Pelodiscus sinensis: one gene and its partners. The protein of the gene in region 1 binds, or shares a complex with, the protein of each later gene. Links are inferred from orthologs where the notes say so. Each region holds a gene or a part of one and is shown on either strand. Other genes may lie near its edges.

Region 1 (7,402 bases):
TCAGTGACTGGGCAACAAAATGGCAAATGAAATGTAATGTGGATAAATGTAAAGTAATGCACATCGGGAAAAATAACCCCAACTATACATAGAGTATGATGGGGGCTAATTTGGCTATGACAAGTCAGGAAAGAGATCTTGGAGTTATCGTGGGTAGTTCTCTGAAAACTTCCACACAGTGTGCAGTGGCGGTCAAAAAGGCAAATAGGATGCTAGGAATTATTAAGAAAGGGATAGAAAATAAGACCCAGAATATCTTACTGCCCCTGTATAAAACTATGATATGCCTACATCTTGAACACTGTGTACAGATGTGGTCTCCTCACCTCAAAAAGATATTTTGGCCTTGGAAAGGGTTCAGAAAAGGGCAACTAAAATGATTAGGGGTTTGGAACGGATCCCATATGAAGAGAGGTTAAAGCAACTGAGACTTTTCAGTTTAGAAAAAAGGAGACTGAGGGGGGATATGATAGAGGTATATAAAATCATGAGTGGTGTGGAGAGGGCAGATAAAGAAAAGTTATTTATTAGTTCCCATAATAGAAGAACTAGAGGACACCAAATGAAATTAATGGGTAGCAGGTTTAGAACTAATAAAAGAAAGTTCTTCACACAGCGTGTAGTCAACCTGTGGAACTCCTTGCCAGAGGAGGCTGTGAAAGCTAGGACTATAACAGAGTTTAAAGAGAAGCTAAATAATTTCATGGAGGTTAGATCCATAAAAGGCTATTAGCCAGGGGATAGAAGTAGTGTCCCTGGCCTCCGTTTGTCAGAAGCTGGAGAAGGATGGCAGGAGACAATTCGCTGATCATTGTCTTTGGTCCACCCTCTCCGGGGCACCTGGTGCTGGCCAATGTCGGCAGACAGGCTACTGGGCTAGATGGACCTTTGGTCTGACCCAGTACAGCCTTTCTTATGTTCTAAATTAGCCCAAATGTGGTATCCTTCCACACATTAGTATTATAAGTCCTCTTGCTACCAACCATACTCAAGTGCTGTACTGGGACACTTGAGAAACACTTGTTATTTTGTTCCATTAGCAGATTATGTTTCTCAGCATAAAATTTAGTTTTTTTTTTAAAAAAAGAGGTAAATTTCCAAATTGTTAAAGTAAGTTAACTATTAAGTGTCTGGTTTAATCTGACACTATTTCTCTGTCACAGGTCTGGCCAGTTCTGCAGCAAAGTCATCCTTGTATTCCTTATTAACTTCTTAGTTCTTACTAGGCAGATCCACCTATTCCTGGTCACAACTTCTGTAGGATGATGAAGTGGTAATAAAAACCTAAGAGACATGTTGAAGAAGCAATAGGTTTTCATCTTTTATTGTGGTGAGCCTGAAATGGAGTCTCTGGATTTAAACAGATTTTGTAACTGTGGCAATTTTCAGTGCAGTCTAACTCCATCAAAGATGTGCCTAGACACAGCGTTCATCCAACAATAAAACATACCATGCCACAAGAAAGTATTGAGCCTGTGATCAACAGGAATAATAGGAGGACTTGACTCACTGAGAACACTACACTGAGCTCCAGTAGGAGAAGTTGAGTTAGTGCGATGTCAACTGTGTCTTCAGAGTTAGTGTAAAGACCAGTGTAAAGACAGGAACAAGAGGTCTTAAACATGTGAATTAGTTATGGTTATCAGCAACTCCTCAAGGTTGTGTTTTAACTTGATGTAATTTTCTAGGAAAGATATGCTCAAAATGCTTTTGGCAGAAAGAGGCCAACATGGATTTTGGGGTCTCCTTCCACAGCTTCTCAGATTTCTATGTACCCTACACTTTCTCATCTTTTTCCTTGTGGCTTTGAAAACTAGTGTACTTGCCAAGGACATCAAGTGTCTTTAGTTAGTCTATGGCTGGCCAGTACACATCAACATGCTAACTCATTATCCTAAAGGAAATGCTAATCCTCAAAGTTCTCTCACATTAGGAATTATGAATCATTTGTCACAAATTTCTGGTGATGGACTATACTAATCTCATTTTCCACTAACCACTTTACCCCCACTAGGTCCCTAAAAGAGAACACATTTTCTTCTATAAAAATTTCAAACAGTAATAACAAGCCTATTGTGTCAACTAATTTCCTTTGATTTATTGCGTTTCCAGCCATACTGCCTTGTCCTCCACTCCCTTTGCCACACCAGCTTCACATTACTTTTCAAGCTCCCTAGATGAGAATGATTACCAGCAGTTTTAGGATAAATGAAGTGACAAAATATGCTCCCCACAATAAACTGAACAGCAAGTCACCTCCAATTTGATAAATGCTCAGTGTGACAGATCCATGAAATGTAGCCACTAATTTAGGAGACAGCACTACCCTTAGCAACATGGATCTTAGGCAGGTACAATCAGTAATCCTGATCTGACAGACCTGCAAGTACATGGAAGACAGATCCTTGAAGATCTGCCTGTAGCTGGTTAAAGACACCTTGGCTACGTCTACACTGGCGCATTCTCTCACACAAACTCTTTTGCGGAAAAGTTCCTCTGAAAAAGCTCTTCCAGAAGAGAGCATGTACACTGGCATGTGCTTTTGCGCAAGAGCATCCATGCCAGTGTAAATGCTCTCTTGCTCAAGAAAACTCTTGATAGCCATTTTAACCATAGGGCTTTCTTGTGCAAGAAATTCATGTTGCCTGTCTACACTGGCCTTTTCTGGAAGAGCTTTTGCACAAGAGGGCTTACTCCTGAGTGGGAGCGTCAGAGTTCTCGCACAAGCCCTGATTTTATACATTAGAACATCAGTTTCTTGCACAAGAACACATGGCCAGTGTAGACAGGCATCAAAGTTTGCACAGAATGGCTGCTTTTGTGCGAGATCGCATAGTGTAGAGACAGACCATATGTTCCTGGAACAGTGGTATTTTCACACAGTGATAGAGCACTACCATCTTTCCAGAATGATACAGGATTCTTTTCACTATACATTCAAAAATCCAAAATGTTCTGCTGGAAAATACCTATCTGGTATTTATATACAAGTTCTCACATTGAATCCAGTTCAACATAGGGGCTGCGTCTAGATTGGCATGATTTTCCGGAAATGCTTTTAACGGAAAAGTTTTCTGTTAAAAGCTTTTTTGGAACAAAGCATCTAGATTGGCACAGACGCTTTTCTGCAAAAGCACTTTGAGTCCGTGCCAATCTAGACGCGCTTTTCCGCAAAAAATCCCCAATCGCCGTTTTTGCGATCGGGGCTTTTTTGTGGGAAAAAAATCTGAGCTGTCTACACTGGCCCTTTTGCGCAAAAGCGGGACTTTTTGCCTGAATGGGAGCAGAATAATATTTCCGCAAGAAGCACTGATTTCAGACAGTAGGAAGTCAGTGCTTTTGTGGAAATTCAAGCGGCCAGTGTAGACAGCTGGCAAGTTTTTCCGGAAAAGCGGCGGATTATCCGGAGAAACTGGCCCGTCTAGACACAGCCAGGGAGTAAAGGGGTAACTGGTTTCCTGGTAAGCATTGCTGTACTGCATGCTTACTGGAATGACTAGATAACGCCAGCTGGAGCAGCTACCTGCCGTGGCAGAGGGGTCAGGCTCACAGTGCCGCAGCGGGTTGTCCCGTCCTGGCCAGGCCTTACCAGGCAGAGGGCTGCTCCAGCGGGGCCTGCCTGTGTGCAGGGCGGGCGGCTGGTCAACCATTCAGTTCAAGGGTGAGGGCTTTGAACTGGACGCTCCTTCCCTCAGGAAAGCGGGGCCCCTCCTCCCAGCGATTCCCAGCCGGACACTCCCGCGCAACATCCCGCGCCCCCCTCTCCGCAGAGCCGGGGTGTCTCGTGCGCCGGGCCCCGCGCTGCCGGGCGAGCCCCGGGGGGGGGGGGCCGATCTCCCGGGGCGATTTCCGCGCTCGGGGCGGCGGCCGCGGGGTCACGCGCCACAGGGCGCGCGCGCGGGGGGAGGGGCGTGTCCGTGGCTCCCACGCCCCGCGGGGGGGGGGGGGGAAGGGCCGCGCCCCGCTCGGAGGCGGCTCGGAGCCCCGGGGCGCCGCTCGGCCCAGCCCGGGACACACTGACCTGAGGGCGGCTCGGCGGCCTCCGTGGGGCTTTTCATGGCGGCGGGAGGGGCCCGGGCCGCTCAGCGGGCGGCCCCGCGGGGCCCCCTCATGTCCCGGCGCTGCCGCCGGGCCGGGCCGGGGCGGGCGGGGAGCTGCAGCGCCGGGCCCGGCCCCTCAGGCGCGGCGGGGGAGCGAGGACGAGGCGGCGAGAGCGGCGCCCCCACCCCGCGCCGGGCGCGGCTCACCAGGGCCAGGCCGCCCCGCCCCCAACTGTCAGCCGCGCGCGGCCCCGCCCCCGGGCTCGTGCGGGGGGGGGGGGGGGCGGGGTTTCCCCGGCAGGCGGGACGCTCGCGGCCGGGCGCCGAGGCCTGAGGCCGCGTGCGCGCAGCAACCGTCGAACTGGAGGGGGAGGGGCGGAGCTCACTTGGGGCGGCCAGGCCCTTCCGCATCCGGCCGCGCGCGCGGTGCATGGTGGGACGCCGGCCATTGAAGAGCGCTAACGCGGAGCCCACGCCGCAGGGAGACGTGCCTCGCCGAGCGTAAGTGGCGGGCGGGAGCAACCACCCAGCCCCGCGTGCGGGGAGCCGGCCGGGCCTGGGGGGGGGGGGGCTCTGCTCCTTCCCCTCCCCCCCCCCCGCACCGGCATTGTGACCGCGTGGGAGCGGCCGGGCCCGTCGCGCGGTGACTCCCGAGGGGGGGTTCGCGCCTCTAGGCGGGTCTGCCCCTTGGCTGGGCTGTGGGAAGCCCCGTGCAGTGAGATTGACCCCCCCGCGCGGAGCTGGGCCCGGCCCGGCCAAGGCAGCCGCGTCGCCGCCGGGGGGGGGGGGGGGGCTCTCGCGTGGGGCGGGGGCTGCGGATGGAGCAGCCTCTCGATCCCCTTCCCACTGCCTTGGATGGCAGCAGCAGGGCTGGGGGAGGCAGGGGGCACTGCAGACATGGTGCTGTGGGCACTGGCTTTCAGCCTGGCTCCCACCAGCATTGGCTGCACTTCTTCCTCCCTATCCCCCTCCCTCCACTTGCTGCCTCGTAAGCCAGCAGCCAATGCGCCACTCAACTACCCCATAAGATTGTGCTGATTAGGTAGTCAACTAACACCCCTGCTGGTCTAGGACACGTTACTTAATTATTTGTGCTCACATGAATAGTTGACTTGAAGTCCATAAATGCATCAATAAGAATTTGCAGCATTGGGCCATAAAGCGTCTCAGTGGCTTTGACACATCCTTTTCACAAGGACTTAACAAGACTTTGAACTTTCTCACCCATTACCAAGACAGTTTCCCCAATTATCACCTGTAATACCATTAACTCACAAACATCCCACTCTCCCTACCTTTAATATCAGCAATTCACAGACACTTACCTTCCTTCCTTCCCCCCCCCCCCCCCGCATCCCCCTCCTGTTCTGCAATGTGATTTGTCCTTTTCATATTTGTTCATTTTTTTTAATTGTTTCCTTTGGTATATATGGTTGTGACTACTTTCTTCCACTATTTGATCTGAGGAAGTGGGTCTGGCCCACGAAAGCTCATCATCTAATAAACCATCTTGTTAGTCTTTAAAGTGCTAATTGTCCTGCATTTTGCTTCAGCTACCCCAGACTAACACAGCTACATTTCTATCACTATTCCTTTTCATAGGATACTAGGTGAATACTTTTTTCCTAGCTGCTTAGCCTTTTTTTCAAATTTGAAAGAGGTCATGTCTTTTGTTACCAGCTTCAGTTAGTAAAGGAGACAAGCTCATGAGCTACATAGTAGCGATGTTTTTTTTTTTTTTTTAAAAAGAGGTAATTGGGCAAATGTATAGCCATTGAAAACCTCAGTGGTTACCTGCAGCCTATATTGTTATACTTTCACATCCCTGCTACATAGAGCTCTTCTTCTGTTAATAAAGATACTGCTTTTCTATCCAATGTGTTGGGACTAACATGGCTATGAAACCTCTTTCCCGGATGATAAGAGACAGAAGGGTAGCCAAGTTAGTCTTTAAGGTGCTTCTAAACTATTTGATATTTTTTAAATTTTTCCTGTTACAGACTAACAAAACATGTACATGGTATCATGGGCTTTTGTGGGCACAACTCACTCCTTGAAGAAGGCATCAGTTTCTTTAACTTAAAGGAAAATAGTCTGGGGCATAGCCATGTTAATCTGTAACTTTAGAAAAGTAGTTCTGTGGCACTTTCGTATCATGAGCTTTTGTGGGTTAGACCCTCTTCATCAGCTGCACTTCTCTGATGCCACAGAACTATTTGTTGTTTTTAAAAGAAAATATTATTTTCCTTTCTTTAGTAGCAAGCTAGTGTCTTAGCATTGCTGATTTCTCTGCTTTGGTATTCTTAAGCCAGTTTCATTTTGTTGGTATAGACCATCAAAGTTAGAAGAGTTGAGTAGATGTAACTAAAACGATATAGAAAAGAGCCTCTCAACCCTCTTTTGTGACTAACTCCTCAAGTTCCTCAGTGTTTCTTCTGAAAATATAGAAAATTTGAACTTTTTCTTCCCCATCTTCCATGGCACTTGGAGATGTCTCATTTCTTTCCTTGCTACCAAGATTTTGAGACCCAACATGGTCTTTAAAATAAAATGGTTTGACATTTATATAGCTGTTCAATGTGTATAGAAGCCTTAATTCTGATGACCTGTTCTGTGAATAGTTAATGGTGGCAAAAATTCTATTTGAGCAAGCTGACACTTTTCAAGGACATTCAATTTATAGGGGGGAAAAAACAGGAGCCAGTAGTTTTGTATTCTCTGGATTAAAGCTTTTATAGAAATCTGAATTGTGTAGGCAAAGTTTCTGGATAAAGAAACTTACTGTGCTCTTCTGCTTTTTTTTGTGTGTGTCCCCTAGTTTTAGAGAAGTACTACTGCAAAGATGTCCATCGGAGTTCCAATCAAAGTGCTGCATGAGGCAGAAGGCCACATTGTGACATGCGAGACGAATACAGGGGAAGTCTACCGTGGCAAACTCATTGAGGCTGAGGACAATATGAACTGCCAGGTATGTCTGGGAAAAGGAATTATGCATTTTTGGAAAGGTCCCTCTTTGTTGCTTTTTAACTTTACTAAAAATTGACATCTGAGAATAGACGAGAAAGGTGGGTTATCATGCTCTGTAGCTTTGCCAAAGTGAAATAGTCTCACCTGTGATCTAGAGGGGACAGCTGATACTTTTTGGTATATAGGGAATGTTCCTAATATAATTTATGCGTTTTTCAGAACTCGGTTCTATGCCTAATTTGAGGAAATTGCATTTTGCTCATTATTTCAACAGCTTCTCTTGAGTGCTACATGCTCAATTCTAATTGATTTTTTTTGAGCTAGAGTTTTATGTTCAAATAACAAATCATTCACTTTTCTCATGAGAAATTACTTTTGTAATCTAATGTGTAATT
Region 2 (7,988 bases), on another chromosome or scaffold:
AGCTGGCCTTTGAGCTAGCAGCTGTTTAGAGATAAATCAGAGAGATGTTTGTAAACAAGATAAAAGTAAAATGTATTCAAACAAGGATTTTGTTAAAGCCAGAAGGGTTCACTCTAGGGATGTTAGCTATCCTGCAATTAAATAGTCACGTAACGGCATGAAATGTTAGTGATTACATGACTATTCAACAGTCCCCAGGGTTGGGGCCAGCAGCCAGTGCACTCCCAGACCCACTCCCAGGGAGGCCTCTGCCATCCCAAGGTCTTGCTTCTGTACCAGCTCCTCTTGTGAACCAGCTGCCTGCTGCCCTAATGCAGAGGCAGCAGTGTGGGGCAGCAGCATCCCTGCCCATGGGGAGTCCAAGCTCCTCACAGACAGAAGCTGCTCTGTGGGATGGATCCCCTGCAGACGGGCTGCTTCCGCAAAGCAACCTTTGCCCGTGGCAGGTCCAGGCTCACCACAGACAGAGGCTGCTCCATGGGATGTGGAACAGCCTCTGTTCACCGGGAGCTCAGCCTGCCAGAAACAGAGGCTGCTTTGAGGAAGCCTCCCCTGCCCCACCCCCTGCGCTGCTGCCTCTGATAAGCGGGGCGGGGGGGGGGGGGGGACTTGCTGGCTCCTCCCAGCACTGGCTCCTGCCTGCCCTACTTCCCCCTACCTCTGTAGGAGGCAAGTACATAGAGCCGATAGGTGCAGGGAGCTGGCTGGAAAGCTGGCTCCCTATGCACATCAGCTCTAGCCCACCCCACCTCACTGCTGCCTCTATCAGCTCCCGCTCTGTATCAGCTCCTTAGATACAGAGGCAGCAAGGGGGAGGGGAAAATGTGTGCAGTTGACAGGATTAACCAATAAGTCTAGGCTTATCGGTTAATCATATAGTTGACTATACGTTGACATCCCTAGTCCACTCTGATCAACTAGTGTGACCTCCTGCATAGCATTTACCAAAGACCCCACCCAGCTCAGACATATACACTTTTTATAATGAACAATGCTGTGAAGACAGACACACTTTACAGTAACCTGAAAATTCAGCATGTCTCCTATAGTACTGCCCATTACCTGGAATAAAGATCCCCACAGAGGGAACCAAGCTGTTATTCTGTTGAATAGCTTGCACTATTCTGGAGCATCAAAGGTCAGTGGCTAGATACCATGACAACAGAATATGGTACCGTAAAACAGGATGTACTAAACCGATACTGCCAGAAAAAAGGTCTATCCAAATCATAGGTCATTACAGTTATTGCTTAGAGTTATGGATTAAGACACCTTTTCAGGGCACTTTATACATAGATGCTCCATAACCAACCAAAGAAGCCCCTTTACATTAGGGCTGTGTCTACACTGGCATGAATTTCCAGAACTGCTTAAAACGGAATACTATTCCGTTTTCAGTTTTTCCAGAAAAGGAGCGTCTACATTGGCAGGCTGCTTTTCCAGAAAAGCCCTTTTTCCAGAAAAGCGTCTGTGGCCAATGTAGACGCGCTTTTCCGGAAAAGAGCCCCAATCGCCATTTTCGCGATCGGGGCTTTTTTCTGGAAAAGACTACTGGGCTGTCTACACTGGCCCTTTTCTGGAACAGTGTTCCGGAATAAGGACTTATGCCCGTGCGGGAACAGAATAGTTTTTCCGGAATAGCAGCTGATTTTTTACAGTAGAGCGTCGTTGCTTTTCTGGAAATTCAAGGGCCAGTGTAGACAGCTCGCAGCTTATTCCGGAAAAGCGGCTGATTTTCCGGAATAAGCGGCCCAGTGTAGACACAGCCTTGACGTGTCCTGACTTCATCTGCTCCAAAATCCTTTCATAACCCATTTATGAAAAGTTACACGTATGTGCATGTTCACACTCCTTGCTTTACTCTTTCACTCCTCTTCCTTCTGCAAACTCACCTCACCACCCCTTAAGTCAGCAAGTCTACATTTTCCCTAAACCTCATGCCCCACCTCCACCAGGACAGCCCCTGATGACTCCTCCTCCTCCATCTCATGAAACTTCACATGCCCAACACTAAACCATCACAGATTAGAATGCCTCATCAATACCCCCCAACGAAGTCATGCCCCCTGCCCTCCTAAAGCTCATGCCTCAGTGTCACGACATAGGGTGCACATGCACTGATCCCCCACCTATCCCATTCCCAAAACGTGACCTCCATAACATCTCCCCAGCAGCCAGTCCCCGCCATAAAACCTCACAGCCAATCCAAACTCTCATAGCCACCTTCACACCTCCAGACACTTGCCATCCCAGAGCACCTCTCGCCAAGCCTACTACTCTACTCATTCCTGAGCTCATTACCACACCAATCCCCTCCCTGGGCCGCAGAGCCTTGACCATAACGCTTCTTCAAGCCCCATAGTCACACGCCAATCTTTAACTCCCATAATCGCCTGCTGAACCCGAGAGCACCCCCACGCAAATTCCTCTCTCTCGGACACTCACTGACAGCCCATCCTCTCTCGGCCATCAATAGCCCCTCAATGGCTGCCTCCTCCTCTACCCCACACTTCTTCCCTTTGGGCCCTTTCCCAGAATCCCGGTGTCCTCCCCTCAAAAGCGTCTCAATCTCTCGGGCTGCTCGTCCCATAGCCTCCCCATTCCCCTGCCCGGACGCTGACCCGCCTCGTATCCCTCGTCGCGCTTCTCCCGCTTGATCCGCCGGGGACCCTCGGCTTCCTGGGCACCCCTGTCCCCGGCCCGGCCATGGCTGCCACGGGCCGCCTCCTCTCCCCCGCTCCGCCGGCTGCTCCGCTCCCCGCGGCTCCGGCTGCGCTTCCCGCGCCGCTCGCCCGACGCGCCGCTGCGGTGCTTGTGCTTCTTGTGCTCCCGGTGCCGGGAGGAGGAAGAGGAGGCAGCAGGGGGCGGCGGCGGTGGCGGCGGCTGCTGCTCCTCAGAGCCCCCGGTCTCTCCCCGCTCCCGGTGCTTCTTCGAGGAGCCCATGGAGACGCAAAATGGCACCGACGCAACACGAAACTTCCGGGATCGGCGCTACAGTGCTTCCGGGTCATTACATGCTCGTCCAGGCTCATTGCGCACGAATTCCGGATAATTTATGGGTTACTTCCTGTTTATATGTACGTCACTTCTCGTTTGTTGCTACTTCCTGTTCAGACCTGTCTAATGCCCGTATACTTGTACGTCACTTCCTGTTTACAAGGCTATTACCTCCGTGTCAAGAGGGTGTGTTTCCTGTTTGGCTGAAGTTGTCCCCTAGTTCGTCTTTGCCCCCAGGCAACTGGGATGTGCAGTTACCAGTGGAGGGGGAGGACACATATTTCTCTACCTCGTTACATCACGCGGGGCGGACGCTCTGTGGCTCTAGCTGCCCTTGGCAGACATTGCAGGGTGTGGCAGGCATCCCAGTGTCAAAGAATTTTTAAAACCCCAATAAATAAAGGCCTTTAGCTCCCATGGAGTCCAGGCTAAGGATGTTAAGGACTAGTTGACTCTCTGATAAGCAAATGCCTATCAGATAGTCCAGTCGACTAGTTAATTCCCTCCCCCTCCCCTTGACAGAGGCAGCAAAGGGGGGGAGGAAGAAAGGGGTGGACACTTCAAAGTGACAATGCTGCACAGGGCTCATACATGGGCTCTGTGCGGTGCTGCTCTGTCAAAGGGGCAGCACTGCACAGCTGATCCCAAGCTCACCTGTGCGGCACTGCACCTTTGAAACGCCACATCGTTTTAAAGCAGTGTCGCACACAGCTGCCCCGGGGCTCCATGCAGTACTGCCCCTTTGAAGCACCATGGTGGCATTTGCATGAAGCTCGGGGTCAGCCAGAGGGGCATGCCTCTGCATGGCATTTCAAAGAGGTGGCGCAGCATGGAGTCTGAGGTCAGTGGTGGACTCTGAAGCTGCGTCTACACTACCAAGTTCTAACAGCAAAAGATATTCAAATTGCACTTTTCTTCCCACTTTTCTTCAGAAAGAGGCTTTTCTGAAAATTGGCCCGTCTACAGCAGGCCAAATGTCAGGAAAAAAGCCTCTTTTGGAACATCCCTTCTTCCTCACAGAACCAGGTTTACAGGGATGCCAAAAAATGCATCTGCTTTTCTGAAATTTTTTTTTAAAAGCAGATGCATTGCTTGGATGCAGCAGAGCTTTTCTGGGATACCTCTGGTATCCCAGAAAAACTCTGCCCTCTAGGCGTACCGCTGAGTCTGCCGCTGACCTTAGGCTCCATGCAGGTGCTTCTGCTTTGAAATGCACAAAAGCCTCCACTGGGGACTTTTGCGCATTTTTAAAGCTGATATCCTTGTGCAGCCCAGAGTCAGCGGGACTTCCTGCTGTCCCCAGGCTGCACACAGAGTACCCCAGCAGGGGCTCTTGTACATTTCAAAGGAGGAATGTGGAAGTGCCTATCAACTAGTGGAGTATTCAATGAAAATTCCATCCACTACTCAACTAGTAAATTACTTGATATTTAACATCCTTAGTCCAGGCCCAACCATCTCATCCATCTCATGATTTATAATAGTTCTGTGAGGCCTTTGAACTCTGTACAGCTAGCTACTTAACTGTATTGTTTAGTAAGCCCAGCACATCCAAACAAATCTATGACAATGCTGTTGCAAGGAAAGAATTTAACATGGCTTGGGAAAACCCGTTCTTGTTTATAGAAGGAAAAGAGTCTAAATCTATAGGGTTACTGTGTGACACTATAGCCCTATGAAAAAAGTTTGATTTTGAGTGGCATTTGGCATAAATCTATGTAGCCATGAACACAAAATATCCCACTGGATTGCTTTGCAGGAAGAGCTAGTGCTCCACTGGAATGTTCATTGGCTGTCAAAGGGAAAGGATCACAAAAAAATCTGAGATATGGAAAGCCAGTGCTAACTTTTTTGGAAAAGAGGGATAAACTCAATGACAATGACAATGACAAACTTACTGAAGACAAAGACTAGATAAGTGACTTGGATTTCCTCATCAATATTGTGTTTCATCTTAACATATGTACAAGAGAAGGATTTGCCTTTTGCTACACTGTGACTCTTCACTGTTTGAGAAAATTTTAGGATTGATAACTCTACTATGGATCTCTTTACTAATCCTGTCACTGTTTTGTGCACCGATGTTGATAATTATCTTCCAGATTTATAGTTAGAAATTCTTGAACTAAAATATTATTTCTGGACTTGGGAATAAATTAAAAGGATTGTGTATATCTCCAGTAAACCAAGATCTGATTGTGATGGGTTAGATTACAGACGTCCCTTTGAGGTTGTCCCCTAGTGTGCTGATCATGTCAATAATGCCCACTTTCCTGCCTTCTGGGGCTCTTCACCACCCTGTCTTGCTTGACCAGAAGCTCTGGTTTCCCCCAAAAAAGGCACAGAATTGGGGTTCCTGCCCCACCCTGCAGAGCAAAACTGACACTGAACTAATTTAGCTCTGGGAAGAGTCAGTTATAAGGGCTTAGCACCAAGAAAACCAACCCCCAAAAGGAACCAAAACCCCAAACAAATTCGTCTTCCCCTGTGTAAAAGTTTTACACAGAGAAAACTTGTAAAGATGCCCGCCCACTTTATCAATGAAAGAGAGATATGAATATAGTTGCAATCCCCCAGGTAACAGTTATTTACACTGGGCTTGGTAATAAACGTAGATGTTTTTAATTAAGTACAAATAGTAAGATTTAAATGGTTGCAAGTGAAAACAGATCAAAGTTAGTTACAAAGTTAAAATAAAAAAAAACCCAGCTAATTCTGATATACTAAGAAATGTGTTGCATGTGAATTCTTACCCTAAAACAATTGATCTAAACATTTCTTTCACAAGCTAAGCAGCCTGCTATTATGGGCCCAATCCTTTCCCCCTGTTCAGTCCTAGATATTTCCAGCGGGCATCTTAGGTAATTGCTGAGTCTCCTGGCATCTGGCAACTGCCCTATTCTTTGCCCTGGCCCATATTCCTTTTGCCCAAGGCAGGAATTCTTTGTGCTCAATTCAAACTTTTCTCACCTTAAGTGGAAAAGTACCAGATCCAAAATGGGTTTCAGCCTCAAGTGTCCTGGCCACATATCTGTCTAGGATCAACCATAGTTTGGACTCACAGGACAAACAAGGCTATTCACAGATCGTTAGTTTGAGAGCTGAGTCATTACGTTTCCAGAGCATCAGTAATGATCCTTTTTAACACATTTAGAATTAACAGATCCACATACAAGAATGATACAAACCCAAAAATAGGATATACAATTTCAGCGGATTACAAACTTTAAAATTACATGTCACATTATTTATTTTGCATAAAACATCTTTGAGTAGGGTTACCAGATGGTTTAAAAAAAATACCAGACATACTTGATCTCAGATCGGGGGGAGGGACCGTCTGAGAGGGGAGCGGGGGTGGCCGGGAAGGGGGGAATGGGAGGATTGGGAACCGGCTGCCGGGGAGTGGGGCTGGCCCAGGCACACGCAGATCCCAGGGTGCTGCCCATCCTGCGCACAGTCTCGGCGGGTCACACGGGCAAGTCTGGCCCTGGGGATTCCATCCCACCCCTGCCCCCCTCCTCTCTACTGCATAGTTGCGTTCTGCATGAGTATGTCTACCAGCTAGGCAGTATGCAACTACGTACTGATACTCATGATAATAATAAGAACATAATTAGAAAATACCAGACATTTATATGTCCAATATTTTCTCAATTTGTTTCCCGGACAGAAAGTGAAATACTGGACTGTCTGGTTCAAAACTGGACACCTGGCAACCCTATCTTTGAGTTATGTATTCTCATAAGCAAATTTTCATAAAGTATGGTGGCGGGAGAGACTGTGACACTGATACCATTCTGAAAATTTTTCCTAAAGGAGATTTTTCTCAGATAGATGATCTTGCCCTTTGAGATGATGGTAAACTTGGATTGGTGTATATTTACCAGACAGTCATTTTCAGAGAGAAAGTTTATTAAAAGGAAATATCATCCCAAATTCACTTATTCCCAATTCAATAACTTCAATGACTCCAGTACATCAGTGAAGCTGTACACAGGGATTGATAACATTGTGGACAAGAAGGGACATTCAGAAACCCCTTTATATTGCTGCCACCACACCCAGATCATGCTCAGTTTTATTCTGAATTAATTCTGTTATAGGAAATACCATAATTAAGTGTCATTTTTTTAGAGTAGAGGTTTTCAACCTTTTTTCATTTGTGGACTTCTAAACATTTTCAAATGCAGCCACAGACCCTTTTGGCAATCTTAGACACACTCTGAGGACCCCAGGGACCCACATATCACAGGTTGAAAAGTCAGTGTTTTAGACACTTTAATAATACTAATACTAATACTAATACTAATACTAATACTAAAGTGACATTTTGGTAATAAGTTCATATTGTGCCAAACTTATTGTTGAGGTCCTGCCTTCGTAACAGGGGAACATGCTATTGTACTTGGGGGGTTAGTTATATAATTTCTTCTTCACACCACAACAGAGGTGGGGAATAATTTGAATGACATACCCCTTCTCTTCTTTATAAATAGATCTATACACAAAGGGTATGTCTGCACTTGCCCCCTACTTCGAAGTAGGGAGGCAAATGAAGCACACCGAAGTTGCAAATCAAGCCCGGGATTTAAATATCCCGCGCTTGATTTGCATGTTCCCAGCCAGTCGCCATTTTAGAAATTCACTATCGTGGAGTAACTGCCCGCATCTACACGCGGCAGTGAAACGGGAGTCCGATTTAAAGCCCCTAATTCAAATTAGCTGGTAAACCTCATTGCAGGAGGAATACCAGCTAATTTGAGCTAGGGCTTTAAATCGGACTCCCGTTTCACTGCCGCGTGTAGACGCGGGCAGTTACTCCGGGCTAGTGAATTTCTAAAATGGCGACTGGCTGGGAACATGCAAATCAAGCGCGGGATATTTAAATCCTGGGCTTGATTTGCGACTTCAATATGCTTCATTTGCCTCCCTACTTGGAAGTAGGGGGCAAGTGTAGACATACCCAAAGAGAAATCCCATTAATAGTG
Region 3 (7,593 bases), on another chromosome or scaffold:
TTACTTTCTTTTAAAAAGCAAAGGTTCTTGGCTTACATATAATTTACTAGTGCTTGGCTTATTTTAAATTATATATTACCACTGATATTAGGGTAGAACCCTGAACTCCCCACTGAGGATTATGCTGGGTTCTGTACAGGCAGCAAAAATAACTGTTGGCCAGGAAAGTTTAAAATCTAAAAATTAAATTAAAATATTTGCTATGCTCTTAACAATTTGGTCATTTCCTTACATGGAAAAATACCATCTTAAACCAAGTTTCTAAACTACTGCTGATATTACAGACCAATGTTTAGAACAAATTTTCCTAATACAGGTTTGACCTCCTTGGTCCACACCCTCAGGCATCTGAGTGGTCCTGAACCAGAGAGTTTGCCAGACCAGGGGAGATCAAGGCTCCCCTCCCCACTGTCAGCTCCACTTCGGCCCTTCTACTGGGTGTCAGCCCTGGCTGTTAGGCTGTTTCCCACCATGCTGGCCCCAGTGCTGTCAGTCCCAGCTAGAGTTGCATTCCCAGCCACATTGGCCCTACTGCGGCTGGCCCTGGCCAGAACTGAGCTCCTGACCCTGGCTGGCCTCTTGCTTCCAGCCGCTGGGACTCTTTGGTCCAGCAATATCTGTGGTCTGGTCGAACCAAGATTGTTGATGAGGATTTTAGAGGTTCAATCTACACTCAAACCACTTTAATATGGCAACCCTAGGAAACAGGTTTTGCTGGATTAAAGATTTTGTCAGCTCAAGGAAAGAATGCGGAAGATGGGAGCAGGGTTGTTACCTGGCACTCCCATGGGAGCAACAGGAAAAAGCCTCCAGCAGAATGCATCCCTGTACTGCTGTTTCCCCTAGCTGGGAAGGAGGGGGTACAACAGAGCTATTTCTGCCTCCACCTGCCAGGGTCCATATCATATTATGGGTGTTGCTGAATTAGAAACACCCCGAGCACAGAAATTATAGTGTATTTTGGTTATTCAGTCTTCTGCATGTTTCAACACATGCATAAAATCTTACTATGTAGCTGAACTCAATAGCCACTGTTTTCTAGACATTCCATTATGGAACCCACTTTGTAAAAGGTTACTCTCACGGTTTCATCTCACTTCCCAACATCTTTGTTTGCACAATTTCACCAAGAAAGGTATCACGGCCTACATGCATGAGCAGGTCTCGACAAATCATGTAATCTACTCACCCCCAGTGAGTAGATTACAAGCTGGCACAGCCAGCACCATGAGATCTGCGCATCCGCAGCTCGCAGAACCTCGCGGCTGGCGAGCAGGGCTCACCGCCGCTTGGCGAGCCCTGTGCATGAGTAACACTGTTGTATAGTGTTCTTCAACACTCAAGTTGGGAAAATAATCCCCAACAATCACTCAATTTTATGATTTAGGACATGTCTACACTAGGGATGTTAACTAATGTTTATTTGTGTAAATGTGTAACCACTAGATTTCTTAGTGGTTACATGTTTACACACCTGTCTCTCTCTCTGCCTGCATACCAGCCGCTGTGGGAAGCAGCAGGGGTGAGGAGGGCAGGTGGATCCCCAGGCACCAGCTCCCACCTTCCCCCCTCTCTGCCTCTGATACAGAGGCAGAAAAGGGGTGTGTGCACAAGTGTAGTTGTCAGGATTAACTTGGTTATTTGTGGAAATGGCTACATACTAACATCCATAGTCTACAGTATAACTGGTGTGGAAAAAAATGCCATCCCCTTGAGTGACAGAACTTTTTCTGGCCTTAGTAGTGTGCACAGCACTCCGTTGGTGGAAGTTCCTAAATGTCCAAATTATAATAAACGATAAAAATAATCAAATAATAAAAAAATAGGGTAATCAAGTGATAAATTAGTCATACCATCCTATTTAGATCGCGTTCCCACGTTAATCTAAGCAGACAGACAACTGGTTTCAACAGATGCCCACTGATTTCAAGTCATGCCTCAGTCATATAGCATAATTTTCAGTGCTAGGACATTAGTGCTTAATATCCAGCAAATTACCTGTTTTACTTTGACTACAATATGATGAGGGCTTTTACTTCTTTTACTTCTTGGAGACTTGCCTCTTTTAGCAGATGACTTGTTCTTTCTTTTTGCTGGTGACCTTTAAATATTCAAAAAAAAAAATCATGTTTTGGGTCCACAACCCACTCTTGCCCCAAGGAAAAAAGGAAAGGAAAAGGCTTGTGCAAAACACACCTGACAATTTAACCTTAATCTGTAACTACTACTGTCCTGTATTGTATCATAGAAGGATGAGGTGGTGGGGAAGGGTCTCCCAGTTGCAGTGTTCCCTTTAAGCTGTGAGCTTGGGCTGCAGCACAGAGGATTCAAATACCACCCAGCTGATTGGCAGAGGGCCCACAGCTACCCACAATGTAGCAGTGCACATCTGCACACGCTCCGATGCACACAAAATGTTGTTCTACACACGGAAGGAAAAACAATTGGGCCATTGCCCCGCTCTATGTATCTGGGGGCGGTGGACACCAACCGGTCTGAAGGGAAGAAGTGGGGGAGGAGGAGGAAACGCTGGGAGAAACCTTTGAGCGGGAGTGGGGAATCTCCGAGGGGGGCCGGGGAAGGGGGGGCTCTCCCCCGCGCGCCCTGAGTCTCCCACACAGCGTCCAGCGGAGCCGCAAGGACCGCACGAGACAGCGAGCGAGGCTCTCCACTCCCGCCATAGCGGGTTGAGCGCAGGCGGCTGATACCTGCTGCGGCCTTGGGCTGCTTGATGCGGCCGGGCCGGGCCCTGCTTCCGCTCGGCAGGCGGGGACTGGCTACCCCGGGCGGAGCGGGAGCGCCGGGGGCTCCGCTTCTCCCCCCCGTCTTCCTGCTCCTGTCGCCGCCGCTTCCGCCGCCGTCGCTCGGGCTCGGCCTCCTCCATGGCTACCGCCGGGACCCCACGAGCCGGGCTGCGGCCGCACGTCCCCGGCAAGCGGAAAAGCGGCGGCTGCGCAAGGCCCTTCCGCTCACAAAGAGTAAGCGAGAAGCCTAGTACTTCCGCTTCCGGGGCATCTGTGCCCGGCGCCCCGGAAGCACTCGTGCCAGGCAGGCCTGAGGGGTGTGCGCGCGGGGGGGGGGGAAGCAGGTGACGTGGGAGGCCTCGCGTGAATAACCCGGGCGTTGTGGAAACCAACGCGCTGTGTGAGGTGGCCTTGGGCGCGCGGCGCCTTCCTCAGCCGATCTGGCTGCTCTCAGCCTTGGCTGGGCTGAGGGAGTGGCCCGGCCTCGCCAGCCCTGAGTTCGCTTTTTACACTCTACGCATGCGCAGCTGGACCCGTTTTCCTCGCCACAGCCGGCACGGCGCGTGCGCGGTCCACTTTTCTCGCAGCCTGGGTCGAGCGCTGGCGGGCGGGGGCGCCTCGTGACGACGTGACACGGCGGAACGCGGCCCCGTTGTTGCCATGGTGACGGTACACGGCTTGCGGGGAGAGAGCGAGCCACGGAGCCGCCATGATCCCCCCGGCGGACTCGCTGCTCCGCTACGAGACCCCGGTGCTGGTGAGCCGCAACCCGGAGAAGCGCTCCCCGAAGGTAAAGGGGCTGCCGGGGGGCGAGCGAGCTGGGAGGGCATCGGGCGGCTGGTTGATGGGGGTGCGTGGGGAGGGGGTGGGGTGCGGGGGGAGGGGGGAGGGGGTGGGGGGGTGCATGGGGAGGGGGGAGGGGGGGGGGTGCATGGGGAGGGGGTGGGGGGGTGCATGGGGAGGGGGGAGGGGTTGGGGTGCATAGGGAGGGGGTGGGGGTGCATGGGGAAGCGGTACACGGGGACAGGATTGAGCTGGTGTTATGTGGAGGGCGGAGAAGGATGAGCGGGGGGGGCAGGGGGGGCTGGAGGTGGGGGGCGGGTTGAACTGGGGGCTCATGGGGAAAGAGGGATTATGGGGGGGGCCGGGAGAAATTTAAGTGATGGAGCATGTGAGAGACCTAAACTGGGAAATCTAGGGGTTATTCTGTTGGAGAGGGAATTGCATGAGATGAGGGCATGGGGAGCCTGTGTGGTTTCCCCACGCACCCTGGCTGAAACATGTGCCGTGCCTTTATAGCCCTGGTATGTTTCTTGTTTGCAGGCGCGTCCTTTGAAAGTGAGTCCTCAGCAGCCAGTGTCAACTGGACCTGTGCCGCCTCCTCCAAAACCCAAGACTACTCCTACAGCTGTAGATCCAACAAAACAGGCAGAAGAAATCTTAAATGCAATCCTGCCACCAAGGCAAGAAACTGCTCTTGCACCCTTTCACCATGGTCCCAGGAGAAGTCATCAGTGTGAAATTTTAAGGTTGGGGGCAGGCAGTGAGGGGCTCTGAATGTTAGGAGTCAGGGCATGTCACTATAAGGTGGAGCCACACGGTAGTCATCGATCCATCACTAGTAAAGATTCACTATATTGACTGTTGATCACTCTCCTGTTGACTCCGGTACTCTAGCAGAACAAGATGAATAAGGGGAGTCAATGGGAGACTTTTGAGTTGACTCCCCACACTGTGGACCCTATGGTAAGTAGATCTAAACGTCAATTTGAGCTATGCTGCTAATGTAACTCAAATTGAGTAGTTTAGATTGACCTGTCCCTTGTAGTGTAGACCTGCCCTCAGTGACTGTCACAAAATAGCGTTGGGGAGAGATTGGGAGATGGATTTCTAGCTAAATAAAATATTTGTTCCCGTCAGTGCATGTGGCTCATCTAATAGTTGGTGCTGACTGATTAGTGGTAGTTACATAATATGTTTTCTAATTTCCTCAATACCTATGAGGTAGTGAGTGGCCTTGATTAATTATACATCCGTTTCAAAAGTAATATAATCTAGAAATGTTTTCTGCTGTTTCAGATTACTACATGCAGTATCAGCCACAAAACAGCAGTCCCTAAGCCTTTTTAAGTCTTGTGTCTTGCCTGATGCCCATGTAGCATGCCTGGATATCTGAACACTGCCATTCTGAACAGTTAGCTATGTTTACTGTTATCTAAGTATCCTGTAGTTAAAAGTTCTTTACTTGCTATGTAAAATGCTATCAAATTCCTCTGTTGTTGAAATACCAGTTCAGTAGGGGTAATGAAGGATGTAAAGTTAGCATTTGTTTAGGGATCAGGACATTCAACAGAATCTGTGCTGACTTGATCTCTCGATTCTACTGACAATGGAAGCAGGAGAACATGCTTGCATTGCATGCTTTTGTGTACAAAATATGGGATTCCTTCAGTTTGTGGTGGAAATGAGAGCTCAAGCATATGCTGATTTAGTCTGTGCTGCTTTTGTGATGCAGAGAATGGGTGGAAGACAACCAGTTATGGATTCAGCAGGTGTCCACCACTCCCAGTACCCGAATGGATGTAGTTCATCTGCAGGAAGAGCTGGATCTCAAATTACAGCAAAGGCAGGCTCGAGAAACTGGGATTTGTCCTGTCCGCAGGGAACTCTACTCACAATGCTTTGGTCAGTGAATACATCTAGGTCCAAGATACTATAGCAAAAGGCTTGTTTGAAGGATACTATAATACTAGAAGTTTCTGAATAGCTCAGGACATGGGGAATGGGAAGTGGAGACTTCTATCTAACGTGTATGGATTCTTGTCCACCTTGGTCAGGAAGGAATAAGAGTCGTTACTAGTGTTCTCACTAAGATTTTCCAACCATGAGCAGAGTGAATTTTGGCTTGTGCACCAATACTGAGGTCATGTGCGCTGGTTTGGATGTGTGCCACTATGGCACCCAAGTTATTAACACACATGTTCCCAGCCTTCAGAGCAGAAACCCGCCCCTCCCCCCGCCATGTAGCATATCGTATTCCCAGTTGCTGGCGCAGACAGCCCTCTCCCCATGCGGCAGGTCCTGTTCCTGGCCCCAGCTGCCAGGTCCCAGCCCTCTGCCCCAGTGGCTCCCTCACCATGTCATCTCAGCCGGCCCCACCCACAGGAGCAGCCACCTGCTGCGTGAGTGCTGCTGTGAAGCTCTCCAGAGGAGGGGGATGAGGGAAGAATTTTGTGTGCATGGCCACACAGGCGCACACCTTAGCAGGAACTATGGTCATTACCATCCCATGTCTGTCTGTCTGACCTATTGATTTCAGTTCATTTCTTGGTGCAGAGATCCACATCAGAATTAACATAAGAAGGCTACTTTATGAAGTCTCAGTAAAGAACCCTCAGTCAGAATGGACACACATTTTCCTCTTTTGGTTTTAATGAGTCCCCTACAGTGCAGGGCTGAGACAGACTGGCAGAAGGAAGTGCATGTGGGAAAGCTTTCATTGTTACTAAAAATATTGTATTAGCCCTCTTGCATCTCTCACCACCATATATAGATGAAGCATGGTTGCCACATGCGTATTTCCTCTTAATTTTAGCTTGTCTACAGAACAGTATATTTTTAAAAATGTCTATATACAAGCTGATGCCGAGAAGGTGTCACTGTGGCAACAGGGCATTGAATAGTAAGCTGGGGTTGCATATTTGCATGGGAGGGAAAAATTCATTCAACCACACTTAGTTCATGCTCTAATAATTAGATTGTCATGTTAAATAAATTAAATATCTTGGTTACACCTTGTTACTCTTCTTGCTGTCACAGACCAACCATGGAGACTGGAGGAAGAAACCAGCCACTGGGTCAGAGAGATATATTAATATAATTAATTTTTTATTCATTAGCCATAGGAAACTTCAGGTCTACACTACCTTGTCTTGAACACCACAAATGTCATGGCCATAATTACGTTGCCAAGCACACTGACCCATGTCAAAATGTTTGTCTTGAAACCCGTGTAAACGTTCTCTCTCTCTGTTTACTGTTACACTTTTTTTATTTAAAGATGAACTCATCCGTGAGGTTACAATTAACTGTGCAGAGCGGGGACTATTGCTGCTTCGAGTCAGAGATGAAATCCGAATGACCATCGCTGCTTATCAGACACTGTATGAAAGTAGTGTTGCCTTTGGTATGAGGAAGGCATTACAGGCTGAACAGGGCAAATCTGACATGGAAAAGAGAGTAAGTGAGGCTGTAAACTCATAGTGTACCTATGATCTGGCTCAAAAATGTGCTTCTCATCTTCCTCATCCTGGCTCATTGGGATTTTCTCACATTTATTAGAGCACTCTGACAATTTCTTTTGCAAACAAAATCAACAAACAAAACCTTCACTATTTTCTGATTTGATCAATAAACTGCTTCAAAATATTGTTTACCTTTTTAAAAAAGTTTTCTAGTTCCACTGGGTGGCAGTAAAGATCAAAACACATCTTGCTGATTTCCTGAGGCTGCTTTAATGGACAAATTGTCGATTATCATTTTTTTCTTCAAAGATAGTAAAATTTATATCTTATATTTTAATTGTATTTAAAAACATAACAATGACTACCAGGCATACCTATGTTCTTTATAAGATTCTAGAATTAGAAGATGAAAAGCGAGAGTTGGAAAGACAAGTCAATGAGCAGAAAGCTAAATGTGAAGCTGTTGAAAAACGTGAAAGTGAAAGGCGGCAGGTAGAGGAGAAGAAACATGGTGAAGAGGTGCAGTTCTTGAAACGCACTAATCAGCAATTGAAGGTTAGTAAAGAACTCTGACTGCAGTGCCTTAGTAGGAAAAAACTGAAATA
Region 4 (7,344 bases), on another chromosome or scaffold:
AGGGCAGGGAAAACAATTCTGTATTGGCTGCTGCATCTGTTTGCTTGCTTCTGCATCACTTTTATTATCTGTTTCTAGCTCATTAAAATTTGCTCCTGGATCTCCCGTCTGTCTTGTTTATAGTTTTCTTTTAAAGTCTCTCTCCACACCCTGTGTTCTTAGAATCATAGACTCATAGAGCTGGAAGAGACCTCAGGAGATCATCAAGTCCAGCCCCCTGCCCAAGGCAGGACCAATCCCAACTAAATCAATACAGCCAGGGATTTGTCAAGCAGAGACTTAAAAACCTCTAGAATAGTGATAGAGATGCAGCCATGTTAGTCTGGCGTAGCTGAAACAAAAGACAGAACTATGTAGCACTTTAAAGACTAACAAGATGGTTTATTAGGTGATGAGCTTTCATGGGCCCATCTTGTTAGTCTTTAAAGTGCTACATAATTCTGTCTTTTGTTTTAAAAACCTCTAGGGATGGAGATTCCACCACCTCCCTAGGTAACCCATTCCAGTGCTTCACCACCCTCCTAGTGAAATAGTTTTTCCTAATATCCAACTTAGACCTCTCCTACTGTAACTTGAGACCATTGCTCCTGGTTCTGCCATCCGTCACTACTGTGAACAGCCTTTCTCCAGCCTCTTTGGAACCTCCCTTCAGGCAGTTGAAGGTTGCTATCAAATCCCCCCTCACTCTTCTCTTCTGCAGACTATACAAACCCAAATCCCTCTGTCACTCCTTATAGGTCATGCACTCCAGCCCCCTAATCATTTTGGTCGCCCTCCGCTGGACCCTCTCCAATGCATCCACATCCTTTCTTGTTTTATTCCTCTGAGGATTGGAGCACCTTGTGAAACATATCCTCCTTGGTTGCTTCCAAGGCACCCCACTAGTGTGTAGGTGTGACAGTGTTCCCAAGGGGCAACCTGAACAGTGATGTTGCTGAGCCCTCTGCCCTATCAACCTGGGCTCTCTCTTATACTGTGATGCCGTTTGCAAGCCACAAACCTCTGGTAGGTACTGCATGTACACAGACTTCCATGGACAGGACCATACCCACGCTGAGTTACATGAATGCTCCTGTCAGTCACTCAGGAACCAACAATAGACAGGTTCCAGCCAATTCCCCACAACTTTCCAGCTTCGAACACCATCTGTACCATCTTGCTCCGGTAGCCTTGTTCAGCCAAACCGCACTGTTGTAGGTTTATTAACTACAGTAAGGTAGATTTTCAGTGATCATAAGTGGTAGGCACGAGAGATCAGAGCTAGTTATCAAAGGAAAGAAAAGAAAACAAAACAAAACAAAAGAAAAGGGCACAAGCTAAAGCTTAACCCTGAACACACTAGGCAGTATTTAGATCTAGCAGTTTATAGGGATGTAAAATCCTGATTAATTGGTTAACTGGTTAAATGCGATGTTTAGCCAGTTAAAGGGGGCTGGGCTGAGCCCGTGCAGCCCCTGCTGCAGGCAGGAGCAGCCCCTGCCTGTGATGCACCTGGGCCTGCCGCAGACAAGAGCTGCTCTAGCTGGGCTGGAGCTACCCCTATCTGTGTGGGCCCTATTGGGGTGGAGCAGCCCCTGCCCACAGCAGGCAGGAAGCTGTTGCAGTCCCCACTGGTTAACTGGAGCCAGTAAGCATCAACTGTTAAGGGTTAACATTTTGGGTGCTTAGCAGTTTACTCGCCCACGGATGCTACACAGCTCTTAATACACAGGCTTCCCTCTCACTCCCAGAGCAGTCCCACATAGGATTGCCAGGTATCCGGTTTTGAACCGGACAGTCCAGTATATGAGCTTTCTATTCAATAAACAAATTGAGAAAATATAAAATTTGGAAAATCATGGAAGATGGGAGAGATTCCAGAAGACTGGAAAAGGGCAAATATAGTGCCCATCTATGAAAGGGAAATGAGAACAACCCGGGAAACTATAGACCAGTCAGCTTAACTTCTGTGCCAGGAAAGATAATGCAGCAAGTAAGTAAGGAATTCATCTGCAAATATCTAGAAGATAATAAGGTGATATGGAACAGCCAGCATGGATTTGTAAAGAACAAATCATGTCAAACCAATCTGATAGCTTTCTTTGATAGGATAATAAATCTTGTGGATAAGAGAGAAGTGCTGGACAAGTATACCTAGACTTCAGCAAGGCATTTGATACGGTCTCGCATTATATTCTTATCAATAAACTAGGCAAATACAACTTAGATGGGGCTACTATAAGGTGGGTGCATAACTGGCTGGATCACCATTCTCAGAGAGTAGTTATTAACAGTTCACAATCCTGCTTGAAAGCTATAACAAGTGGGGTTCCGCAGAGGTCTGTTTTGGGACCGGTTCTGTTCAATATCTTCATCGACGATTTAGATATTGGCATAGAAAGTATGCTTATTAAGATTGCAGATGATACCAAGCTGGGAGGGGCTGCAACTGCTTTGGAGGATAGGGTCATCATCCAAAATGATCTGGACAAATTGGAGAAATGGTCTCGGGTAAACAGGATGAAGTTAAATAAGGACAAATACAAAGTGCTCCACTTAGGAAGGAACAATCAGTTTCACACATATAGAATGGGAAGTGACTGTCTAGGAAGGAATACGGCAGAAAGAGATCTAGGGGTTATAGTGGACCACAAGCTAAATATGTGTCAAGAGTGTGACGCTGTTGCAAAAAAAGCAAACATGATTCTAGGATGCATTAACAGGTGTGTTGTGAGCAAGACATGAGAAGTCATTCTTCCTCTCTACTCTTCACTGATTAGGCCTCAGTTGGAGTATTGTGTCCAGTTCTGGGCACCACATTTCAGGAAAGATGTGGAGAAATTGGAGAAGGTCCAGAGAAGAGCAACAAGAATGATTAAAGGTCCAGAGAACATGACCTATGAAGGAAGACTGAAAGAATTGGGCTTGTTTAGTTTGGAAAGATGAAGACTGAGGGGGGACATGATAGCAGTTTTCAGATATCTAAAAGGGTGTCACAAGGAGGAAGGAGAAAAATTGTTCTTCCTGGCCTCTGAGAATAGAACAAGAAGCAATGGGCTTAAACTGCAGCAAGGGAGGTTTAGGTTGGACATTAGAAAAACTTCCTAACTGTCAGGGTGGTGAAACACTGGAATAAATTGCCTAGGGTCGTTGTGGAATCTCCATCTCTGGAAATATTTAAGAGTAGGATAGATAAATTCTATCAGGGATGGTCTAGACCAGTGGTCTCCAACCTTTTTAAGCACGAGATCACTTTTTTAATTTAAGTGCAATCCAAGATCTACATCACACCCAAATACCCTTGCCCCGCCTCCTTTGTGCCCCTTCTCTGAGGCCCCGCCCTCCCCGCTCACTTTCACCCTCACTTTCACCAGTCTGGGACAGAGGGTAGGGGTGTAGGCTCTGGACTTGAATTAAGGGATTTGGAGTGTAAGAGGGGCTCTGAGCTGAGCTTGGGGCAGGCAGTTGGGATGCTGGAAAGGGTTCTAGGTGCAGGCTCCGGCAGGGCATTTGGATGCAGTGCTCCGGGCTAGGGCAGGGGCTTAAGGTGTAGGAGGGGGTTCATGACTGGGGCAGGGTTTCAGGATGTGGGCTCCAGCTGGGCCCTGCTTACCTCAGGTGGCTCCTGGGTGGTGGTGCAGTGGGTATAAGGCAAGCTCACCCCTGCCCTGACCCTGCTCGGCCAGCAAACTCCATTCCAAGCAAAAGCAGCCGGCAAACTCCATCCCAAGACTTGTTGTGCCCCCTCTATGCCCTTGGAGATAGGACACAGAGTGGGAGAGGGGGCTCCCTGACATAAGCATCCTCCTTTCCCTCCCCTGCCCAGTAAGCAGGAGGCTCTTGAGGAGACAGCTCCAAGACAAACGGCAGGAGAAGGGCAGCAGTGGGGGTGGAGGGCAGCTGAAGTGCCGGCACTTGATAGCTTCTTGCCCAAACCAGTCAGGATCCCCTGTCCGAGGCTCCAAGATCTACCAGTAGATCCGGATCTACTGGTTGGTGACCACTGGTCTAGACAGTAGTCGGGGACTGGACTCGATGACTCTCGAGATCCCTTCCAGTCCTAGTATTCTATGATTCTATGAGATGAGAAAATATAAATGTCTGGTATTTTCTAAAGAAGATGTAATGTAGAGTGTGGTGTAATGTAAAATGTGTCCGGTATTTTTGTTGAAACCATCTGGAAAATGGCTAGTCCCACACTGGCCACTCCATCTCTTCAGAACTACAATTCCCAGCATGCAAAGCTCTTTGAGGTGGGCGGGGTCAGCGCCTCCTTGCCTTAGAACTACAACTCCCAGAGGACAGCGCGGTAACTCGTTTCTTTTTACTGGCCACGTGCGCGCTGATGCTGCTTGCTGCGGAGGCGCTAAGGTCTACGATACCGAGAAGGCGGCGCGCGAGGCTGTGCGTGTTGACGTTCGTTACGCTGGATGCGCCGCCGCGGCGTACATTGCCGGAACGCAGCGCTTCTTCTGTTTAGCGGCGGGCCGCCCGCCGCGTGGTGACGTATGACGACGTCGCCTACGGCGGCTGTTCAGGGTCCGACCGGGCGGGAAGATGGCGACCGAGCACCCGGAGCCGCCGAAGGGGGAGCTGCCGCTGCCGGCCTACGGGGCTTGGGCGCCCGCCGAGCTGCAGGCCAAGCTGGCGGAGATCGGGGCCCCGGTTCAAGGTGCAGCCCCGCGGGGGGCGCTCAGGCGAGGGCGGTGCTTAGGAATGGGGCGGGAGATACCGGGGGCTGCGGGGGGGGGGGGGGCGTTGCTTGGCGCTGCCGGGGGGCAGGGGCGGGCGGGGCAAACGGCTGGTGGTGGCTCAGGGTGGCTCTGACGCTTCATCTGTATCCTCCAGGCAGCCGCGAGGAGCTGGTGGAGAGGCTGCAGACCTACACGCTGCAGGTGAGTTACTCGCATGGGGGAGGAGACCCGCTCTGCCACCAGACATGGCCTCCCCTTGGCCGGGCCATTAGCGCCAGCCCTAACTCCCCCACCCCTCTCCTCTAGCTGAAAGGGATCTAAAGGGAGCCCCGAACCTAGGGCTGGCAACCTGCAGTGGGAGACTTTACTGCCTGGCGTGCACTGTGGTGTCACACGACCTGTGGGTATGGTAGAGGGGTCTTCCACCTTCACTGCCCCAAAGCCACATGCACAGTGTGAGCAGTAAACACACTCCACAGCCTTGTGATTAGTGACATTGACTAGGAACCAAGAGGCAAGCAGCCTGCATTCCCTGGCATTAGAGCAAATGAGCAGCATTAGGTAGTGAAGACTGATGCAGTGGTTAGGGCATCAGCTGCGGCTCAGGAGACCTGGGCTCTAGTCCCTACTCTGCTACAGACTCCCTGGGAGACCTTAGGTGAATCACCCAGAGTCTTTGGCCCTTAGTTTGGCATTTGTATCATTGGGCTAATAGTGCTGCCATCCTGTAAGAATAAACAAATTAACAAGTGGAAGGTGTTCAGATAGTGTGTTAACAAGGGCCAGAGAGGTACCACTCAGCTTCAACTGTAAGCTGGGTTGTGACCATCCCCTGATTGAACCATCATGGGTGCTAATGACTTAAAGGAAATTGTGAATTTCCTCATAAGACTGGAACGTGTGGGTGCTATAGCTGTGTGAGGTGGAGGACGTCAGTGACATAGACATCACTGTTCAGATGCCACGAGGGTGCTCTGTCCTAGTGAGGGTCCTTAAGGCTCCATCTGGGCTACTATATTCCTTCCTGTCACATGGTACAGCAGGGTTTGACTAGCCCACTCTCCCGCCCAACAGCAGAGAGATAATGGCAAGTGCTCTGTTGTGGCCTCTGCTCTCCACCCCAGTATGTCTGTGGATGTTGATAGTAATCAGCAGGGCTCACCGAGCTGCAGATCGCCCGAATCCAGCTCTTCCGGGATGTAATCTACTCGCCCATGGCGAGTAGATTACATAGATAGTCGAGCCCTGGTAATCAGGACAACTGTTCTGCACACTGGTGGGAGATGGGCTGCTGATGTTTGGACTACTGGGGGTGGTTTTATTTCTATCCCCATCTCTGTGCCACATGGCCCTGGGCCTTCTTGGTATCAGTATCCCCATCTGGATTTCTGTCTTGGTTGTGGTATTTTGTGTTGTGAAGGTCTTTGTGCAGCATCTGCAGGTTCCATCTTGCTTGGAGAGCTCCACCTTATTGTCTGTCCTTGTGGTGATGGAGAGTTGGTCTCCCCAGGGCCTGGATTTCCTTTCCTGACCCAGAGCATGTCAGTGAGGCCTCTAAGAGAAGCTCCCCAATGGACAGACTTTCACTTGCTTTGCAGCTATATTTATTGTGTCCTCCCTCCACAGACTGGCATCGTGCTGAGCAGGCCGTCTCTCAGGGGAGATGACGGTGACAAACCCACCCCGCCACCAATACCCGGACAGGTGAGTGAAGGGGTCATAGAGAGGAGGAATCTTGGCCTGGCTAAGCCACAAGGGCTTCCCTAGGGACTGGCTGTCTTGCTGTAGATTTCCTATGTTGAGAGGAGGCTGTCTGGGTGACTGACTTCAGTTGGTACTTCCTGCCAGGAGCTGTTGCTAACCCCAGCATCCTGAAGAGCAATACTGTTCTACTTTCATAAATCCATCCCACTCTTTCTGGGATCCAGGAGCTTCCTGCTCATGCTCACCAGTGCTGAGTGGCTCTTGAGCTGGTACTGCTGCATTTGCATTCGGGTGCAGCAACTCGGTGCTGGGTGATGGATCTTGGTTTAAATAATCTGTGATACTTCACACTCTGTGTTGGTCTTTACCTCGTCATCTCTTCTCTCATTTATAGCTCTCTGGGATCCCCTTGCCCCCACCCCCCATGGGGATGCCACCCATGCAGCCTCCACCACCCCCACCGCCTCCCCCTGGCATCAGCCTCAACTTCCCTATGGCCGTGGGGCCCCCTCCACCTCCCCCAGGTATGGGGCCCCCCCTCCGCATGCAGAGCGTGGACCCTTCAGCGCTCTCAGAGGAAGATCGTCTGAAGCTGGCGCAGCAGCAGGCTGCCATGCTAATGCAGCAAGAAGAGAGGGCTAAACAGGTAAGAGCTGTACTGCAGGCAGTGGGGTAGTGGTTTTGTCCTTCAGTGCTGGCTCCAGGGTGGCTTATGGGGTGCTGTGCTGTAGAGGTTCCGTCTTTGGCTCTCCCCTGTCTCAGTGCTGACCTAAGTGCCCTTGTGTGGTGTGAGCAGGTGCTGTGCTGCAGAGACCTGGGGGGCAGTGAGTGCTGCAGTGTGGTTAGCCTTGTGCTGCAGGATATCTGCTAGGTTATGTAGAACAGCCACTTTGTTTGTCAAGAGCCTGGGCTTTTTAATCCTGGCATCTTGGTTGCATCTTAGCTACTGTTTTGCCATTTGGCCTCC

The links.
Region 2: SNRPD3 (region 1) and SART1 share a complex: the UniProt entries of both Homo sapiens proteins name them as parts of the U4/U6-U5 tri-snRNP complex. The link is inferred for Pelodiscus sinensis from reciprocal best matches to the Homo sapiens genes SNRPD3 and SART1.
Region 3: SNRPD3 (region 1) and SNIP1 share a complex: the UniProt entries of both Homo sapiens proteins name them as parts of the minor spliceosome. The link is inferred for Pelodiscus sinensis from reciprocal best matches to the Homo sapiens genes SNRPD3 and SNIP1.
Region 4: SNRPD3 (region 1) and SF3B2 share a complex: the UniProt entries of both Homo sapiens proteins name them as parts of the minor spliceosome. The link is inferred for Pelodiscus sinensis from reciprocal best matches to the Homo sapiens genes SNRPD3 and SF3B2.

The regions. Positions count from the first base shown.
Region 1 is NC_134725.1:6,973,817-6,981,218, reverse strand, and holds the start of SNRPD3 (small nuclear ribonucleoprotein Sm D3), read left to right. Parts: upstream 1-4,402; 5' UTR 4,403-4,426; coding exon of another isoform or gene 4,427-4,472; 5' UTR 4,473-4,541; exon of another isoform or gene 4,542-4,547; intron 4,548-6,858; 5' UTR 6,859-6,882; coding exon 6,883-7,008; intron 7,009-7,402. Other genes in the region: protein GUCD1, read right to left, coding at 3,590-3,650. UniProt on the Homo sapiens protein: Plays a role in pre-mRNA splicing as a core component of the spliceosomal U1, U2, U4 and U5 small nuclear ribonucleoproteins (snRNPs), the building blocks of the spliceosome.
Region 2 is NC_134721.1:33,049,085-33,057,072, forward strand, and holds the start of SART1 (U4/U6.U5 tri-snRNP-associated protein 1), read right to left. Parts: upstream 3,006-7,988; 5' UTR 2,944-3,005; coding exon 2,622-2,943; intron 22-2,621; coding exon 1-21. UniProt on the Homo sapiens protein: Plays a role in mRNA splicing as a component of the U4/U6-U5 tri-snRNP, one of the building blocks of the spliceosome. May also bind to DNA.
Region 3 is NC_134735.1:9,846,414-9,854,006, forward strand, and holds the start of SNIP1 (smad nuclear-interacting protein 1), read right to left. Parts: upstream 3,002-7,593; 5' UTR 2,885-3,001; coding exon 2,709-2,884; intron 2,102-2,708; coding exon 1,999-2,101; intron 1-1,998. Other genes in the region: DNALI1 (axonemal dynein light intermediate polypeptide 1), read left to right, coding at 3,454-3,534, 4,068-4,207, 5,260-5,429, 6,805-6,983, 7,379-7,543. UniProt on the Homo sapiens protein: Required for pre-mRNA splicing as component of the spliceosome. As a component of the minor spliceosome, involved in the splicing of U12-type introns in pre-mRNAs. Down-regulates NF-kappa-B signaling by competing with RELA for CREBBP/EP300 binding.
Region 4 is NC_134721.1:32,231,675-32,239,018, reverse strand, and holds the start of SF3B2 (splicing factor 3B subunit 2), read left to right. Parts: upstream 1-4,343; 5' UTR 4,344-4,536; coding exon 4,537-4,651; intron 4,652-4,827; coding exon 4,828-4,874; intron 4,875-6,299; coding exon 6,300-6,377; intron 6,378-6,771; coding exon 6,772-7,023; intron 7,024-7,344. UniProt on the Homo sapiens protein: Component of the 17S U2 SnRNP complex of the spliceosome, a large ribonucleoprotein complex that removes introns from transcribed pre-mRNAs.